Linked DNA regions of Sus scrofa. The protein of the gene in region 2 interacts with the protein of the main gene of each other region in a biochemical or structural test. Links are inferred from orthologs where the notes say so. Each region holds a gene or a part of one and is shown on either strand. Other genes may lie near its edges.

Region 1 (4,423 bases), on a different chromosome or scaffold from region 2:
CACCATTTCAAGAATTGCAACAAAACCACTCAAGTGAAAATGAGTTTATGGTTATCCAGTTTTTAAAAAGGCAGAAACATTTCTTTTGAGCATGGGGGACGCGATCATGAAAATATGCAGTGTTGTATACTAAAAAGTCTTAACATTTGGCAGCTCTACTGAACTTGACCTTGATATATGCTTTAGATATCTGGGGATTCAAACAATACAAGCAAAGACTCAAAATGACACAGGGCAGGTATAGAGTTGAATGTTGTGTGAAGTGGGCAATGGGGGTGACTTGGCGAGCCATGCTGCTTCAGACTGCCAGCAGCTGTCACCGAGGCCTGAGGAGCAACCCTCCTTTAAAGAGTCCCTGCTCACATGCTCATCCTTTGATCTAGATGAGGATTATGATCATTGTCACATCTTTTCTGCGGCCTATCTAGAAAAGCCAGGCTTATTTTTTCTCCACCCTCCAGTCTCCCTTGCCTCCAGGTAGTGCCAATTTCACCAACCCACTTCCCACACTAGGAGAAGTTTTGTCTACTTTTTTGCTGGTTGTTAGCCACATTTGAATAGCTCTCACAAAACCTTGGTTCTTCTAGGCCCTGGCCTTAATGAATATACGGTACCCCAGATCCTAATCGTGATGATTTAGGTTGGAGGAAAATGCCCAAGAACGTCTAGAGATTTTTTTTTTTTACCATCAGGTATACTCCACTATTGAATTGTAACTTCTCGTTAGCCTAATTTAACTTCCTTGCTAGCATCCTAAAGAACACCTGCCCTGTCCTAGAGGATTTTAGACCAGCATTTTTATGGGCTTCTGTTATCTGCTGTTCATGGCACTTCATTCACGAACTAGAGAAGAAAAACCATGCTCGCCTACCTAATACAAGGTGAACATATGGCTTCAACTAACTTACTTCTACAATTTAGATGCATTCCTAGTATTCTATAGGACAAAGACATCCCCAATGGAAAGTTATATGTTAAATTAAAAGAATATAAAAAAAATTTTAACAGAAAAAATTTTAACAGGAAAAAAAAAGAATATGAAGAGAACACACAGCAAAAAAAAAAAAAAAAAAAAAAAAATCCTTTCTCCTTTTTTCCTGCACAATGATCAGTAGTTTCTGGTATATCTTAGTCTTCTGAAATGATATGAAAGGTGTAATGCAAGTCAGGGCACTAGTCTGAGAAATCGCTTAATAAGTTAGTACTGCTCATCCATTAATGATTAATGTTAGCGTCTGAAAACTTTCCTAAGCAGGGATACTCCAAGTTCTCAGTTTTGTTACACATCACAGGCCATCTTTGCTACGCACGCGCCCTTTTCAAGGCGCACAGGCAGGGGAAAGCATTTGAGAGAACAGTCCATTGGAGCCTGTCCGTTTTTTATGTTCCCTTAAAGATAACATTTCTCAGGCTGCTAAATTATGAGTCTGGGAGCCATGTGACCAACCGAAACGTGATCGGGCGGCCAGCCAATCGCAGAGCGCAGAAAAGCCCGTCCCAGCTTCTCACGCTCCGGACAACTGGCATCTAAGGGCAAGGGGCTTTCGGAGGCTCAAGTCCCCAAGTATTGCTTGAGAGGCTGCCTGGACGCTTTAAAGTTCGCTCTCACTTCAGAAGACACGTGACTGCAGGCAGGCAGGCAGGCAGGCCTCCAACGCCACTGGGGACACAAGAGCTAGGGTCTCTGGAATGGGTACATAGGACGGGGCAGTTTGCCAATTCCCCAGACCTGGCGAGCCAGCCCCTCAGTGTCCTTTCCAGGTCAATTCAGAGACTCGCCAGGATCCTCACGGAATCTTCTGAGAAGGGCTTCCTGTCGCCTGCCTGGGAAAGTTGTGCGGCCCCAAGTGGGAGAGTGGCTGAGCACAGGGCTCCCAGGCCCAGTGCGGCAGACCCTGGGGACCTGACAGTAGTCACCACCGCCCTCCCCAACAAACTACAGTCACACACCAGCTCTCCCAGTTCTCGCGCTGCTCCCTTTGATGTATTGTTTAGAATGAAGGCTAATTACAGTCACTAGATTAGGACTCGATTCCTCTCGAGGAAATCTCACCGGGAACGAGGCTCAGCAAACTAACCTGATTAAGTCTTCTTTCCACTCCCCTCCCTCGTTCTGCTATCTTGGAGACCCGAGAGGTTTATAAACGCGGCCCAGAGAGTGGAAAGGGGAGAGGGGAGAACTATCTAGAGCTGGGGGAGGGAGTCCTATTTCAAGCCTCACTAGTCATCTAACCCGCACTCCAGAGAGACGGCCCGGCGCCTGGGGAGTCGCAGTCCGGGTGCGCAGGCTGCGCACTTCTCGACGCTCGGCGGAGACTCCCCGCAGCAGCCCACAGATCGCGCGCCCTCTCACCACCGAGGGAGACCCTAGCCCCGGCCGGCACCCAGCGCCCAGCGTTCTCGCAGGCGCCCATCCTCATCCACCGCCCCCTCCCACCCTCGCTTAAGTCGGAGGAGCGCGCCGGGAGCTGCCGCGCACGTCTCGGCCCACCCGGCCCTCTGCCTCCTTCCTAACACTCCGCCTGGCAGAGGAGACAGAACCATTGTTCAATGGCTCAGAAGCCCACATTCCCCATCCCCGGCCCAGCAGGGTGAAAAATGAGGCAAAGCAGTGGCCTTGGGGGAGGGAGTGTAGGGGAATGAAGATAGTTCGGGCCAGGCTTTAGGACACCCCAAACCCCACTGTCCCCCCAGCCCGGCTCCCGGTAGCCGAGGTGCTGACAGTCAGCTCAGAGGCGCCACCAGGGTGGGGAGAGAAAGAAGGCGACGAGAGCGGAGAGGCGCCTCCTAGGAGGGGGGGTGGGCAAAAGGAGACCCGCTCCTCGGCGGGGGGGGGGCCCCCAGCACCTCGGCTGGGTCTGGGCAGCCCGCGGAGGGGCGCGTCCTCACTCACCCGCTCCAGTGGCGCCGCTTTCTCGGGGCGCCAAGCACAGCACGAGCAGCAGCCAGAGCGCCCAGCGCGCGGACGTGCCCATGGTGCCCGCCTGGATGGTGGTGCCGCCGCCGCCGCTCGCTCCGCACAACAAGTTACCAGCCCTTCGGAAAGGAGGAAGGAGGTGGGGGCGGGGAGGGAGGAGGGGGAGGGGGAGGAGGGGAAGGAGTTAGAAGGGGGTAAAGGGAGCAGGGAAGAAGAGGGCACCCCCTCCCCTACAACTTGCACAATCTCCTCCCCACCCACCAACCCACCCACCCACCTCCCCCGGCTGCAGCGGCTGTGCAAGCCGAGCCCGCGGGCAGAAAATAATGCAGGCGCTGCAGAGGAGGGGAGGGAAGAGGAGGGGAGAAAGGGAGAGGGGGTGGGGAGGAGGGCCGAGAAGACAGAAGAGAGAGAAGCCGACCGCGGAGCACCCACACTGGCGGCTGCTGGAGCGCGGGGTGAGGAGCGAGGAGGGGGCAGGAGGGGGAGTGGTCAGCGGGGCGCGGGCGGCGGCGGCGGGGGTAGGGGCGGGCGCGGCGGCCTCAGCCCTCCTTCGCACTCTACGAGCTCCTCTTAAAAGCTCGGGGTGGCCAGGTGTCTGCTCTGGGGGGTGTGAGAGTATGTGCTGGAGCGTGAGTGGCCGTGGCCGTGGCCGTGGCCGCCGCTGCCGCCGGGACTGCTCCTGAGATCCGGCTGCTCAGCGCGTCCGCCCGGGGCTCACGGGGGCCCGGGGCGGTCGCTGGTTGGCTCGCGCGCCGCCCTCGCCTCCAATCCCCGGTGCCTGCCCTAATTTCCTGATCCCGGGAACCTGCCGCCGCAGCAGCTGTGCGCTCCCTACAGTCATTACAGTACCTTCCCGGCAGTCGCCAACAGTAAATGCAGCAGCAGCAGCAGCAGCAGCAGTTAGCACTGATGCAACCACTGAGGCTATTGCCACCGCCTTCCCCCTAACGGGGCTTACAGCCCGGGCGGGGGGGTGGGGGACTTGCAGCTTTCAGGGGCAACAAGCATCTCTCTACCACCCTCTCCTGCGCCCCAAAGAACGGCTGCTATTATGAGGCTGGTAGGTAGCTTCTTCCTTGGGCCTCCTCTCTCCACCTAAAAGTGATGAAGAGGAGTGGGTCTAAACGTTTGGGCTATTCTGATGTGGGGTAGGGGATGCCCCACATCATCTTAGGCGCACGCTGAGATGCCATTTTTGCTAAAAATTAACTGTGTCTTTAAGTGAGAGCATGTGTAAGGAGAGTGTGCGCGCGCGGTTGTGGTTAGTCCTCTGAAATAGAACGCGACTAAAATAACCCAGTCTAGGATGAGGAGGAGGGATATCAGTAGTGCAGCTCTACATTCTCTCATCAACGATTATAGTTAATTGCTAATTGCACAAAATAATGGTTGGAGGGCCTGTAATTAGAAGCTTAACCTTTTCTTGTTGGGGGAGGGGAAACCTGCAGGTTGATTCTTCTTGATGTAGTTTGCAACATTCAATTATGAGGCTTAAGGAAAGAA
Region 2 (4,310 bases):
ACATCAAGAATAAAAACTGTTTATTGCTGTTGCATGCTTACAAAGAATTGTAAAATCTTGTTCTGGGACAAATCAGCTACATATCTTTAAAGATGCCCTTGAGTAAGAGAAAACAATGTGATGATTCTGATGAAGAGGAGGAGGAGGGAGGGAAATAGAGGAAAAATAGGAAAAAGAAAGGAGAGGAGGGAAAGATGGAGAAAGATGCCAAAATAGGAGATGATGAGAAGTAAGGAGAAAAGGAGGAGGGGAAAGGAAAGGGGGAGAGGAAGAGGAGGAACACAGATAAAGCTTTGTTGAGGTTTTTTCTTTTTCTTTTTTTTTTCTTTCTTTTTTTTTTTTTTTTGCTTTTTAGGGCCACACCCATGGCATATGGAGGTTCCCAGGCTAGGGATCAAATCGGAGCTGTAGCTGCCAGCCTACACCACAGCCACAGCAATGCTGGATCCAAGCTGCGTCTGCCACCTACACCACAGCTCACAGCAACACTGCATCCTTAACCCACTGAGCGAGTCCAGGGATAGAACCCCGACCTCATGGTTCCTAGTCGGGTTCATTGACCACTGAGCCACACGAGAACTCCTTGTTGAGTTTTTAATATATGCCAAGTTCTATACTAAGTTGTATTTGCCTTTTTTCAATTAATCATCCGAGTGAGCCTTTGAACTTTATAATATCATTTCCTCATTTTATAGGAAAGGAAACAAGCTCAGAGTGGTGAAGTAAAATTCTAAGGTCACCATACTTAGGAAGTGACATAGACAGAATTTGAACCCAGGTCTGGCTGTCTAGACTCCATGGTATTACCCACTCATTTGAGGACACTCCTTACATAGATATTGTGCTGATATTAGAGCTACTAAGAATGTGGAGATGAGGAAGAGTTTAAAAGGTCACCTTCATAGCCCCATTCCAAATCCTCAACCAAGTCAATGTTCCGAAAACCTGAATCCTCTATTTAAAATGTTTCTGGTTTTGCATGCTAAATTTAAGAAGGAAAAGATATGCACTAAGTACAATTTTCGATGCATTAAGCATTCAAGAGCACAAGTTTAGTGGAAAGATTAACTTTGAAGCAAGAATATAACTTGTCAGTTTCCAGTGAAAATGCATTTGAATTCCAGTACATACTGGGCTCTGCAATCTTTTTTTTTTTTAATTTTTTTCCCACGTAGCATTTCTCCCAAGACCTAGTCTATCACCCACTTGCTTTCCTTCTATTATTCTTAGACCATGATGCATAAAAAACAAGGTTTACATTAGGTTATAGGGATAAAATAGACTGCTTCGAAAATATTTGTGTTTCAAATAAACATCTGAAGCAAAATTTATAGTCCTTTCTGGGGTTCCGACTGCCCAAGAGCTGCATATGTATTACATTTATGTCCCTTTCTTCCTATGGAGTGTCAGACAGATGCCATCAGGAAACACGACTGGGCACGCACAGCAATGTCTCAAACAAATCACAGCCTCTACAAAGCAACCAATGGCATCCAGTTTTCAGGCCCAGACTGACAGATTTCATGACCTGGAAGAGAGCTCTATTAATTCTATCCCACACATTTTTTGAAGGGGAGGGAAACAGCTGAAACTGCAGGGAGAAAACACACAACACCACACATGTGCACACGCACGTGCACACACACACACACACAGAGTAAGAAGTTGCTTATCTCTAGTTATAAGGGGATAAACTTAAAGAAAGACATAGTCATAAAGCCATAGGACCAAATTCTCCAAAACCCACGAATACTGATACAATTACTTAATTATCACACCATGCATGCCAGTCTTCATTACTAAACACCTATGTGCCTCCTCTGTGTCAAGCACGTTCTTTCCTTTTTTTTTTTTTTATTTTATTTTTTTTATTTTATAGCCACACCTGCAGCATATGAAAGCTGCCAAGGGTCAAATCGGAGCTGCAGCTGCTGGCCTACACCACAGCCACTGCACCACCAGATCCGGGCCACATCTGTAACCTACACTGCATCCTTAACCCAATGAGCAAGGCTAAGGATCAAACATGCATCCTCACAAGACAGCGTCCAGTTCTTAACCCACTGAGCCACTAGAGGAACTCCCATGTGTCAAGCACTTTCTAATTGATGGGAGTTAAAAGGGTCAACAAGAGATCCAGCTCTCAAGGACTATATAGTATGGCTAACAAACACAAAGACGACATTATTAATAAAGTTAGCTACCAACAAAGTGCTAACGAAACAAAACAAACAAAGAGAAACTAATCCCATTTGGGGTTAAGGAAAGGCCTGGCCCTCCAGGAAGTCCTACTAAGCTCAAAACTAAAGAATAGGCAGAAGTCAGTCTAGGAAATAGCAGAGAGCCACAGACGGATTGAGAGTCCAGTGGTTCTCAAAGTCTGGACTCTGAACCACCAGCATCAGCATCATCTGGGAATGTGTTGTAGATGAAACTTGGGCCCTACCACAGACCCAGAGAACCCAAATTTCTGGGAATGAGACTCAGCAATCTCTGTTTTAACAAGCCTTCCAGGTGATGCTGGTGCAGGTAGAGTTTGAGAATCACTGGTATATGCAAAGAGGAACTACAAAGCACAGAATGCCCGGCGGGTGAACAGGGTTAGATGGAGATGGGGCGTGAATGCAGACACAGATGTTGCTTGGGGGGGGGATGAGTAGAAGACATGTCAAGAAGGGCTTTGTATATGCTGAAAAGAACTTTGGATTTTACCAAGAGAATTAGGAAGGACCTTTAAAATACGATACTGTGCATACAAAAAACACCCAATAATGGTGCTATTAAAACAAACAAACATAAGCAATCACAAAGATAGTCCCCCAAATGCCATTCCAGGGACCAAAAAACCTCATTCCTACACAAGAGTAGATATTAGGATAGGAACAGCTTGAGCCCTACCTTTCTTTCTGGAGTCTTTCTTGGCGCTGGTTTTCACAGCTACTTGAAGTTCTGTCTCAGTTGACATCCTACTAAATCCTTAGTCCACTTCACACAGATCCTGGGCCTCGGCCAGGCTCATTGAGGCCTCTTCTCCAAGAAAACGAGTCCTCCCTTCAGAAATGACACCGACAGCTGCACATTTCATTCAGTTCTTCCGAGCGCTGCAAATCAAGGGAAGAGAACGTTCAGAATAACCACTCGGTTAAAGGTATAGATTAGGGAGGGAAAAACATTAAGAGGGTCCATTGCCAAAGAGGATGAGAGGTCTTATTTGCAAAACTCAAACTAGGTGACACAAAGCAGGTCTTTAAAACTCTGGATTTTCAAGAAAAGCAAAACTCCACTCTTGATGTTCCATGTTTCTTACTGTCAAGTGCTAGATGCCACCCAGAAAATACAGCACGGGCATATTTCCTGAGAGGCCCCATGGAGACATTTCCAACAGCGAGGCACCCATCCATCAGCCAAGGCTGACCAGAGCCTTGGCAGCTAAAGCAGATCATAGCGAAGTGACCTGTGGTCGTTCCCTCACTGGCAGGCATCCGAGGGGACATGGCGTTGACATACAATTGGGCTCTGAGGGTAAGGTGACAAATGGGGCTGAGAAACTTCGCAGCAAGCCAATTTTGATGTCAGCTTTTCCCCCAGCTATAAGAGCAGACAAGCATTTAATGCGGGGAGGAAAAGAAAAGAAGCAGGCAGACACACATTTCATTCCTTCTATGATAAATATGCATTGCACACTACTAGGTACTATTAAGTTCAGACACTATGCTGGGAAGAGATAATCATGATAATACCACCACTTCAATTACAGCCAGTATTTACTATACATTGACTATATATGATGCCCTCAGCTCCTGCTTCACATACATTATCTCATTTGATTTCATTTAAATTGAATGAATGTAGTCCCAGTGTCAAGTCAAGGATCTTTTCCCAGGGACGGACTCTCTGATGGTTTACATGTAAGAGTCCGGCTGAAAATAAACATTTCAGGAGTTATCCATTTTTAAAGAATATTAAGATAAAGCTACTGAAAATGGATCTTCAAACCTGTGCAGCCAATTCTTAGTTCATCCCACAGATCCAGGAAACTGTTTAATCTGAAAAGGCTGATGCCAGTTTCAGCTCAAAAAGAATAATGATCAAAACCTCTTAATCGTGCCATTAAAGATAGCTTAACTACGAAGTCTAATACGAGAGCCACTTAAAGCTGGAGTAAGGGAGTTCCCGTTGTGGCTCAGTGGTAACAAACTCAACTAGTACCCATAAGGATGCAAGTTCAATCCCTGGCCTCACTCAGTGGCTAGGTTAAGAATCCAGCATCGCTGTGAGCTGCATTGTAGGTTGCATACATGGCTCAGATC

What was found.
Region 1: the proteins of DAB1 (region 2) and VLDLR form a complex in vitro, tested with the Homo sapiens proteins (2 studies listed by BioGRID). The link is inferred for Sus scrofa from reciprocal best matches to the Homo sapiens genes DAB1 and VLDLR.

Annotation. Positions count from the first base shown.
Region 1 is NC_010443.5:219,206,732-219,211,154, forward strand, and holds the start of VLDLR (very low-density lipoprotein receptor precursor), read right to left. Parts: upstream 2,976-4,423; coding exon 2,894-2,975; intron 1-2,893. UniProt on the Homo sapiens protein: Multifunctional cell surface receptor that binds VLDL and transports it into cells by endocytosis and therefore plays an important role in energy metabolism.
Region 2 is NC_010448.4:155,083,230-155,087,539, reverse strand, and holds the start of DAB1 (disabled homolog 1), read right to left. Parts: upstream 2,966-4,310; coding exon 2,899-2,965; intron 1-2,898. UniProt on the Homo sapiens protein: Signaling adapter of the reelin-mediated signaling pathway, which regulates the migration and differentiation of postmitotic neurons during brain development.